Caenorhabditis elegans: one gene and its partner. The protein of the gene in region 1 purifies or fractionates together with the protein of each later gene. This does not show direct contact. Each region holds a gene or a part of one and is shown on either strand. Other genes may lie near its edges.

Region 1 (5,625 bases):
CTGCTGGACACCGTCCTGATGTCCGTACATTGTGTCGACGAGTCCGAGCTGGTCGATATCCCACATCTGGAATGAAGAGATTTGGGCTGAAAATGGGTGGAAATTGTGAGAATTTCAATGGAAAATTGGATTTTTTCGCGGATTTTTAGTTGGAAAAACTCAAATTTCCAGATTTTTAGTGCATTTTTAGCTGAAAAATCAAATTTTCCGGTGGAAAATGTTAATTTTCAGCTTAAAATCCAATTATTAACCTTCACAGATCGATCCTGACTGGCCGAGTAGAGATTATTGGTTTTTAGCTGAAAAGTGAGCGAAAAAATTGGTCCACGATGTCCGGAGAGGTCCTTGATGTGCTCCAAACTGTCGAAATTCCAAATCTGAAACAAAATTTTCATATTTTTAGGTGCCTAAAAAACTGATTTTTTTTCAAATTTTTTGGTGGAAAATAGGCAATTTTCTACAATTTAAGTTTAAAAATGCATTTTTAAAAGTGTTTTTCGTATAAAAAATGCCATTTATCTGAAAATTTGAATTTTAAAAGTTAAAAAATGTGAAATTTTAGAGATTTTTGAGCTTTTTTAAGGTAAAAAATTTAATTTTTTACGCATTTCGATGGAAAAAAGTCAATTTTTTGCAATTTTAGCTCAAAGTTTGAATTTTAAAATCGGAAAAAAGTGAAATTTTTGCGATTTTCGAGGTTTTTTCAGATAAAAATCGGCTTATTTTGCAATTTTAGCTCAAAATTTCAATTTTAAAAGCCAGAAAATGTGAAATTTCATCGATTTTAGAGCTTTTTTCAGGTAAAAATCGGCTTTTTTTGCTATTTTTCTGATTTTTTCCACATTTTTACCTTGACAACCTGATCAAAACCACCAGAAGCGATAAATTTCTGATCTGGCGACACTGCAACAGTGAAAATGACTCCATAATGAGCATTTGTCGGCTCTTCCGGTACTCCGGCTCTTTTTTTGGTTCTTTTGATGATTCCGACGACTTTACGGGTGCCCACGTTGACTGAAAACTGGCAATTTTGACTAAAAACCGGCAAAAAATCGATTACATTTGACAATACTCGACTCTTTTCCACAGCTAATCACATATTTTGCATCTGGTGAGAAGGCGACACAGAGCGGAGACAATCTGGAAGAAGCTGGGTTGCTGTAGGTGGGAGTGGGGGTACTGTAGAGATCGGAAAAGAATTTTGTACTGTAAGAGTACTGTAGGATTACTGTAGTTTTAGAAAGTTTGACTTTTCGTCTTTTGAAGGAATTAGGGCTTGGGGATAGTGGGAGATATGGTCGGGGTACTGTAGGAGTACTGTAGGATTACTGTAGTTTTGGAAAAACTGGATTTTCGTCTTTTGAAGGGATATTGCTTTGGGGTTAGTGGAGGGATATGGTCGGGTTACTGTAGGAGTACTGTAGAGGTACTGTAGGAGTACTGTAGGATTACTGTAGATTTGGAAAATATGACTTTTCGTCTTTTGAAGAGTTATTGTTTTGGGGTTAGTGGCGGGATATGGTCGGGGTACTGTAATAGTACTGTAGAGGTACTGTAGGAGTACTGTAGGATTACTGTAGTTTTGGAAAATTTGGATTTTCGTCTTTTGAAGGGGGATATTGCTTTGGGGTTGGTGGCGGGATATGGTCGGGGTACTGTAATAGTACTGTAGAGGTACTGTAGGAGTACTGTAGGATTACTGTAGTTTTGGAAAATTTGGATTTTCGTCTTTTGAAGGGGGATATTGCTTTGGGGTTGGTGGCGGGATATGGTCGGGGTACTGTAATAGTACTGTAGAGGTACTGTAGGAGTACTGTAGGATTACTGTAGTTTTGGAAAATTTGGATTTTCGTCTTTTGAAGGGGGATATTGCTTTGGGGTTGGTGGCGGGATATGGTCGGGGTACTGTAGGAGTCTGGAAGAACAATCTGGAAGAATCTGGGTTACTGTAGGTGGGGGAGTGGGGGTACTGTAGCTCCAGAAATTTCAAAAAATCTGAAAATCGTTGTGACAGTGGTACTATAGTTCTGGATATAACTGAAATTGCGCATTTCGACCCATTTTCCATATTTTCTTCGATTTTTAGCAAGGAAACTCAATTTTTTTCCAATTTTCTAGCTTTTTCGGGTTACTGTAGGTGGAGTGGGGGTACTGTAGAGACTGGAAAAGTCGAAGATTTCCGATTTTTCAGTTTAAATTTGAAATTTTTCCAGTTTTTCGTATGTTTTCAAGCTTTAAACTTTGAATTTTCAGTCAATTTCTTGCTAAAAATTGAAAAAAAAGCATGAAATTCGATGAAAAACGACTTCAATTTTCCAAAATTTCAGCGATTTTTATATTTTTCTCAGTGAAATTTTGAGCATTTTCAGTTGGAAAACTCTGGTTTTTTCGCAAAATTTTTTTCAGGTTACGGGCCGGATTACTGTACCTATGTGGTTTATAGCTAATTTCCAGATCATCTTCAAGCTCAACCACATCGGCAACTCGTTTAACTTGTGTTCCTGTACGTGCAACTGCATCGTCCCGGAGCTTCTCTGCCACCTCCTCTTGTGTCGTTGTTGTGCTCTGAAATTTGGGAAGTTTTGGGCTGAAAATCTGGAATTTTTGAGCTTAAAATTAAGGTTTTTGAGCTTAAAAATGAATTTTAGCTCTAAAATTGAATTTTTGAGCTTAAAATTGAATTTTTGAGCAGTCAATCTGGTGAAAAATTCGTAATTTTCGCAGGTTTTCGATGTGAAATTCCCGGATTTTCAGTCATTTTTCACCTGAATCTTGTCCAAAAGCTTCTTGGCTTCTCGATAATTTCTCTCGTGTGCATCCTCGTATTCCACGTCACTTCCGGCTTCTGATGCTGCGGCGCTTCCGGCGAGTGAGTCCTGGAACAAGAAAATATTGAAAAATTTGAATTTTTCTAATTTTTTAGTTAAAAAACAAGAGTTTTTCACTAAAAATTTAGATTTTTAACGGAAAATCCGTCGATTTTTGCTCATTTTTTTTTTCAGTTTTTCAGCGAATAAACCTCCTCATCCGAATGAATTTCCGTAGCTGCCATAATCTTCTGACGTCGTGACATTTTGGCGGCCATCTCCTCGCTTTTTGCATCCGATTTTCCACCATTTTTCTATAAAAAATTTTAATTTTTTGGCGAAAAAAGGAAGGAAAAGCTCACTCTTTTCCTAGTCGCTGCAGCTCCACCGCCGCTCTTTTTGGCGCCGGCTTTTACAAAAAATGCAGGCATTTTTTAAGCTGAAAATGGCATTAAAATTAATCTGAAAATTAGAAATTTCAAGTTAAAACCGGCGATGAAAAACGCCATTAACAAGAAAAAATTGCAGAAAAAAATAGTAAAAATACAAATTTTGATATGAAAAAAAAAGGAGAAAAAATGAATAAAAAACAGGCAATGAGACCGAAAAAAAAACAAATTTAAGGGTAAAATTAATAAGTTAAAGTGAAAAATAATGAAGAAATCCGATTTTACAGCAATTTGAAGGCGAATTATGCAGTCGATTCGTTGATTTTCTGAAAAAAAGGATTTATTAAAGCGGCAAATTTCGATATTTTTAAAATTAATGTTTTTTAATCAAAATTTATTTTTTTTTAATAAAAAGGAATTCAAAATGGGTCTGCTAGACTACAAACTACACATTTCGATTTAGCAGGCCCATGTGGTTTTGATGAAAAGCGGTCTACTAAACTACAAACTACACATTTCTATTTAGCAGACCCAAGAGATTTTGAAAAAAAGTGGTCTGCTAGACTACAAACAACAAATTTCGATTTAGCAGACCCATAAGGTTTCGAAGAGAATGGTTCTGCTAGACTACAAACTACAAGTTTCGATTTAGCAGACCATTGTGGCTTTGAAAAGGATGGGTCTGCTAGACTACAAACTACAAACTTCGAATTAGCAGACCCAAGTGGTTTTGATGAAAACTGGTCTGCTAGACTACAAACTACAATTTTCGATTTAGCAGACCCATGTGGTTGTTGTGAAATTTCGCGTTAAATTTCATTTTTAAAATGATTTTTCGCTGAAATTCTTCATTTTTTCGCTGAAAAACCGTACCTTCATGCTCGCCTGAGCCACCTCAATCACATCCAAATCGGTAATTAGCGTATTCAACAGACTCCGCCCGCTTCTCCCATTCTTTTCAGCCCAACTTTTGAGAATTTTAAAGCAAATCTTCTCATCACTGGTGACGTCATCGGCGGGGAGCTTTGTGCCAAAGCATTTCGCGAGATTTGATTTAAATTTCGATAAATCTCGAGCCAACTGGGTGAGATGCTCATCCGAGAGAATTGTATCTGTGTAGGGGTTCGGAGAAGATGTTTGGCTGGAAAAAATGGAAAATTTGGGATTTTCTGCGATTTTTAGAGTTAAAAATCGATTTTTAGAGCTGATTTTGAATGAAAAAGCTGAAAAATCATGGAAAATATGAGATTTCAGCTACTTTTAATGGAAAAATGTAGAAATTTGTGATTTTTACAGTTAAAAATCGGTTTTCTGAGCCGATTTTGAATGGAAAAAGCTGAAAAATCATGGAAAAATACGATTTTTTAGTCATTTTTAATGGAAAAATGTAGAAATTTGTGATTTTTACAGTTAAAAATCGATTTTTAGAGCTGATTTTTGATGGAAAAAGCTGAAAAATCATGGGAAATATGCTTTTTAGCCATTTTTAATGGAAAAATGTAGAAATTTGTTATTTTTACAGTTAAAAATCGATTTTTAGAGCTGATTTTTGATGGAAAAAGTTGAAAAATCATGGAAAAATACTATTTTTGGCCGAGATTTTCAGTTTTTATGAATTTTTACGGGTTTTACACTAAAAAATTGATCTTTTTTTTTCATATTTTCTAGACATTTTGAGTGAAATTTTCTGAAAAACATGCATTTTCAGCGATTTTTCGGCTCAAAATCGTTCAAAATCAATATCTTTGCCGATTTTTAATGGAAAAATGTAGAAATTTGTGATTTTTACAGTTAAAAATCGGTTTTCTGAGCCGATTTTGAATGGAAAAAGCTGAAAAATCATGGAAAAATACGATTTTTAGCCATTTTTAATGGAAAAATGTAGAAATTTGTGATTTTTTCAGTTAAAAATCGGTTTTTACAGCCGATTTTTGATGGAAAATGCTGAAAAATCATGAAAAATATGAGATTTCAGTCATTTTTAATCGAAAAATATAGAAATTTGTGATTTTTACTGTTAAAAATCGGTTGTCTGAGTCAATTTTTGCTGGAAAAAGCTGAAAAATCATGGAAAAATACGATTTTTCGCCGAGATTTTCAGTTTTTGTGATTTTTTACGGGTTTTATACTAAACTAAAAAATGATCTTTTTTCATATTTTCTAGACATTTTGCGTGAAATTTTCTGAAAAAAAGTGAATTTTCAGCGATTTTTGTCGAAAATCGGTGGGAAATTGGATTTTTTCGTATTTTTTCCATCAAAAAAATGCGGATTTTCGGCAATTTTTCAGGCTAAAAATCGTTCAAAATCAATATTTTCAGCGATTTTTAGCCGGAAAAATCTCTGAAAATGCACCTTTTTTTTTTCAAAAAATGTATTTTTTCAGTGAATTTTCCGCGTTTATTCTTGCAAAAAATGAATTTTTAGCAA
Region 2 (5,518 bases), on another chromosome or scaffold:
AAAGCTGCCAGTCATTTGGCTCGGATAGAATATTATCATCAATTGAGGCAAGAAGCTTTAAGCAGTCCAAAAATCCATATGCAGCAGCGTAGTGAGCAGCAGTATTTCCAGACGAATCCGCGAGAGTAAGACTAGCTCCCTTGGCGAGGAGGAAGGCTGCAGTGTGAATCTGACCATTGAGCATTGCGTGGATTAACGGGGTACGCTTTTTCTTATCTTTTCCTTCCACCAATGCTCCCTTCTCAACCAACTTCTTCGCCATCTCTAGGTATCCTTTTCCACATGCCATCATCAATGGAGTTAATCTGTTTTGTCCTGTGGATGTTGGATTGTCTACAACGATGGTTGGCTCGGCGAGCAAGGCATCAACAACGTCAAGGTTATTACGTAGCACCGCCAAATGAAGTGCAGAGTTTCCAGAGCGAGTTCTCGCATTGATGATAGATCTGTCAGCTCTGATTGTGCTCTCTCCGTCGTCTCCTTTCTCCAAATCCAGCATTTCCTTCATCAAAAATGTGCAATTCACAGCTCTTCCAGCTCTGGCAGCCACATGCAGTGGGGTTTCGGTTTGCTTGGTGAGCATCGTAACAGATCCACCGTTTTTGAGAAGAAATTCCATAGGAGCAGTTCCAGGAGCACACGCGGCATAGTGCATCGTATACCAGTTGTCTTGATCCGGAATGTTGATCGTTGGGTAGACGGCTCTCATCGCTTCTAGCATATGGGTGGAGTTGGAAATGGCGGCAGTGTGAAGTGGAGTGATATTCTTATTCATGTACGCCTTTTTCGCAACAGATACTGGAAGGATTTTGGCGGGCAGTTTCTGATCTTTCAGAGTTGCACGGTGAAGATCGTTGCAGTGCATTTTGACGGGTCCCTGTGCCAACGCGGATGCAAGATCGCGGTGGCCCATTCGAACAGCAGTGACGAAGTGCATTTCGATGTGATGTTCGACAATCGCTGAAAATCATTAGGTTTAAAGACACTCGAAAAACTTTTTAAAAACTCACGTCCGTCTGGAATCTTGCAAAGTTGATACAACTTAGTGTATGTCACATTATCCTCGATAAGCTTCGTCAATGGATTTGGCTCATCGGTCCTTGTGTCATAGTTCAAAAGAGCATTGTTTCCTTCTTTGCCACCTCTTCCCATCTCAATCTGGCGCGTGTGGCGGCCGAGCATGTAGTAGTTCTTGCGACCGGTGGTTTTCTGTAATAAAACATTTTTAAAGAGAAAATTAAATTCAAAAAAACCATACCTTTTGCAACAGATTCGGCTCTTTGCCCGGATGATAGGAATTATCAACTTCCATTTTATTGTTCATTTTGAAGAACTCGGTGGCAAATTTGATGTCCTGCCTCAATGCTTCATCACACGCCGAAGTGTCGAAACTATAGGCAAAGCTCGTGTAGATTGCAGATTTTTGGCACTTCTTCGACTTATAATAGTCTTTGATTTCCTTCATATTTCCATTGCGAACGGCTCTGGTGATCCATCTGTGGTAGACGGAGGCACTGATGTACTCTGGAACCTGAGGATCGTAGAAAAACGGATTCTCCTGGTACTCAGTGATGACACGTGGAGTAAGTCGATCATTTCCCTTCTTGGATGGTGCTTTGACTTTTGGCGCCTTCACTGCTTTCACTTTCTGACCAGTTTTAGAGGATTTCTTGACAACTTTTCCACCCTTTTTCACAACTACAACTGTTTTCTTGACGATCGCCGTTTTCGTGGTCTTACGGCGAATCACAGTGGGAGTGGGAGCCTGGTAGAGAACTGCTTGATGGCGTTGACGGGACGACTTGGCACGGACTGAAATTCAAGAATATCAACCTTGAAATTCTGTGTTTTTTTGACTATTATTTTATTTTTGGAATGTACCGTATTTCATCTAATAGAATTGCACCGAACTACTTTACATTAAACGAATATATCTTGGTTCCATCAAAAAATGTCAATAAAATTTTAACTACAAATATATAGAAAAACATATAACAAGTGTTTTATCAGTTGACCATTTTTCAATAAAACAGACGCCGATTGAGATATAAGCTGTCAAAGTTGAGCAATGGGGTGTCACACTATTGGAAGAAATACGGCAATATTACAATATTGTAAATTTTGAACTGTAATATGTTCGCAAACTTTCAGCTAAAAAATTTGGATAATTCAGAAACTATTCTAATTTAACTATTGGAATTTTTATTCTGGAATAAATAACACATTATTTAAACAAAAAATTTCATTGAATTATTTGTATCGTGTTTCTAGGCTTGTTTTTCTTTGAAGCCATTTTCGGAAGCGCGAAGCAGAGCTGTGCAGCATTTTTTCATCCAAAATTAATATAGAAATGTAGTTAAACTTTTGCTCTATCTGAAAGTAGCACTCATTTTTGTTGAAAAGCTTAAAAGCTTTTAAAAAATCCTCAAACAGTGCCTGAAAGTTGCCGTTCGCTGAAAAACTTTAACGACACCTTTCTGGCAAACGGCAACTTTCAGGCACTACTTGATGCTTATTTGAAGCGGTTCAACAAAAATGAACTATTTTATATAGAACAAACCTTTTCCTACATTTTCTTTGCTACAAAAAATACTGCACATCTCTCGCGAGCGTACGTAGTAATATTTTTGAAATACAATATTATCAACCTGATGTAATACCAAGTACCCAATAAACCTAGTATCATCGGATCTCTAAAATTTGATTGCTAGCACCAAAGAAATGTGATGGAAAATTTAAATTAAAAAAAATTAATACAGATAGTGTATTCACAATAATATGCAATTCTCATGGGAAGTTTTGGTAAATTTCCAAAAGCTGGTCCAGGTTCTTAGCTTTAACCACTACAATGTTTAAACACAAAAAAATTAAAACTCGTAGAAAAAATAATTTTTTTAGATTCTTTTTAGCTGGAATCCAAATTTATGATGAGTGAAATTGAGTAAGTGTCATTTTTTAATTGAAAAAAAACAGTTTCTAAATTTTCAAAAGGTTTACTATGATGTTTGGTTAGTTTAGGAAACATTCCAATTCCCAAAAAAAAACAAAAATTGTGACAAAAAAATTTGAATCTAAATTTTAACATATTTTGAGAAAGTTTAGACAAAACAAAACATGAACCTTGCAGTTAATTTTCTCGGTTCTTACCTCCGTCCACAACTCGTCTCCCGATTTGCCCATCAATTTTCCTGGCAGCTTTTACAGGAGACTTTTTCTTATTAACACGACGAGCCATGCTGTTCGGATTACGGCTGAAACAACAGAAATGAACGAAAGTAGAAAAGTTAGGAAAAAGCTTATAAAATACACGAATATTCAAATCATCCAGAAATCAAACTTTTTCCCCAAAAAAAATGCCCACAAACAAAAAATAGTTGGCAAATACACGCAAGGTCATAAAAAGAGAAAAAACCACGAAAAAACGAGAGAAACAGATAGCAAAACCGTGACAATAGGGTGGAGGAATGAGAGACGCAGACGGTTTAGCAGAATTCTCAAAATGTTGTGAAACCTTGCAAAGATTAAGAGGGCAATGAGATGGGGAAAAGTGTTTGTGTGTCATTCGGTAAACAACGGTTTTTTTTTCCAAATTTTGACATGTTGGAACGCAAATCTGGCAGACGTGGCAAAGTTACATGTAGTTTGGAACTGGTAAAAACAAAAATCGCCACGTTTTCTCGAGATCAAATGCGCCGAGGTCAAATAAATTTTTTTGTCAAAATACACTTTTTTATCTATTCTGTGGAAAGTGAAGTACTGGACGCCAAAATGCAAAGAATAGGCGATATGTAGGCACGTAGGTAGGTAGGCGTAGGTAGGCAGCCAAAGTAGGCATCAGTTTTGACGAAATGAGCATTTGGATCAAAAAACGAAAAAAAAATACACGGTTTTTTGGCGTTTTTTTTTTGGTCCGACAATGGCAGCACGTGCTCGCTGGTTGGTCTAAATTATATTTTCGGGGACTAGAAAACTCCGTTTACCAATTCAAAAAATGGCCTAACAAAAGAGCGGACGAGGAAAAATCCTCGGCCGTGTAGTCCTCTCGGAGTTTTCTGTTTCGATTTCATTACTTTTCTGCGAATTTTCACGGGGTCCGGCCTTCCTCATTGAATTTTTCTTGCTCTATTGCAAATCTCCTGCTGGACAACGCGTGGCAAAGTTGTATACTCCACACGGACAAATACATTTAGTTTTACAACTAAACTCGAGCCGCGACGCGACAAGCAACGCGCCGTAAATCTACCCCAGATATGGCCGAGCCAAAATGGCCTAGTTCGGTAAACTCTTTTATTTCAATTTATGAGGGAAGCCAGAAATCCTTCCTTGGTTTTGTTTTTGGTTTTGCCAATTTTCGTAGTTTTTTCATCAAATAATATTGTCATTTTTTTTCGAAAATATGAAAGAAAAACAGATTCGAAAAAATAAGAAATATAATTTTATGTCCGAGAGGGGTCCACCAGCAGCGTTTGCATTCGGGCGCGTTTGCATAGTCTCATTGCAAAAGGGCAGCCGGCGAGCACGTGCATTCAGCATTATTGAAAAAAATTATATAAAAGAAAATCAATTTTAGAAACTAAGCTGAAATGAAGGTTTTCCGTTTTCGTATTTTGGACACAACAAACACCAAAAAACACCGCCCAAACTAATGCCGCCGTATGAGGTGAATAAATCTCTATTGGAATCGATAGAAATCAGCGGGAGAGCTGATCTCTATCACGCCTTGAAATTGTAGCATTTTTCCGTATATGCGTGCGCGGTGAGGGCGACAAACGATTCTCTTTGTTTGAGGGACAAACCGAGGTCGAAAAATCAAAACATGCGAGGTACGCGAGAGAAACAAATCTCTCAATTTTCTGCCGTTGAATACAAATGCCGCATTGCCATGGACAACGCGGCGGCGCACTGGCAAGCTGAAACTTTCACGAGTGCAAAATGCCAAGCATCATCGCCGTGCAAAAGAAATGTTTGGAAAAAGGAAAACGCAAACATGGTGATAATGGAAAAATGATATCATAGTCAAACTACGAGGACATTTTTAAGTCTTGATAAAATGATAAAACCCTCTTTTTGAGTGAAACCTTTTATACATTTTTTTTGATGGGTGTTGACGACGATGATGATGATGACGATGTGTATGATAACGGAGCAAAATGGCGTGATTCCTGATGTCAATAATGATAATGGTATTAATGACAACGACGATGACGGTTTCAAACTCCGGTTTTAAAATTATAGTTTCTTTTTGCTCTTTTTTTCGTGAAATTTTTCACCACATTATCTGAATTGGCGGTAGGTAGGCAGGTATAGGGATGAACAGCAATTGCCGTTCAGCAAACCAGCCGGTTTTTTTTTCAAAAAAAAAAATTAATTTCCGGCAGCTTGCCGATTTGCCGGAAAATTTGATCTTCGGCAAATTGCCGATTTTCCGTTTGCCGAGCAGAAATTTGCCGGAAGTTTTTAGGGGGATTTTTATAAGACGGAAACACTGAAAATGTGCCTTTATAAAATTTTTTCCCAT

Evidence for each region. The genes of interacting proteins can lie anywhere in the genome.
Region 2: the proteins of T02H6.1 (region 1) and tank-1 fractionate together in Caenorhabditis elegans (co-fractionation; one large-scale study listed by BioGRID). This does not show direct contact.

The regions. Positions count from the first base shown.
Region 1 is NC_003280.10:707,002-712,626, reverse strand, and holds the start of T02H6.1 (WD_REPEATS_REGION domain-containing protein), read right to left. Parts: upstream 3,247-5,625; 5' UTR 3,239-3,246; coding exon 3,170-3,238; intron 3,122-3,169; coding exon 3,020-3,121; intron 2,877-3,019; coding exon 2,766-2,876; intron 2,566-2,765; coding exon 2,429-2,565; intron 1,141-2,428; coding exon 1,061-1,140; intron 1,015-1,060; coding exon 851-1,014; intron 378-850; coding exon 252-377; intron 67-251; coding exon 1-66. Other genes in the region: thoc-1 (Death domain-containing protein), read right to left, coding at 4,019-4,337.
Region 2 is NC_003283.11:1,282,450-1,287,967, forward strand, and holds the start of tank-1 (Poly [ADP-ribose] polymerase tankyrase), read right to left. Parts: upstream 3,252-5,518; 5' UTR 3,236-3,251; coding exon 3,148-3,235; intron 1,813-3,147; coding exon 1,259-1,812; intron 1,210-1,258; coding exon 1,011-1,209; intron 961-1,010; coding exon 1-960. UniProt on the Caenorhabditis elegans protein: Poly[ADP-ribose] polymerases modify various nuclear proteins by poly(ADP-ribosyl)ation, a post-translational modification synthesized after DNA damage that appears as an obligatory step in a detection/signaling pathway leading to the reparation of DNA strand breaks and programmed cell death.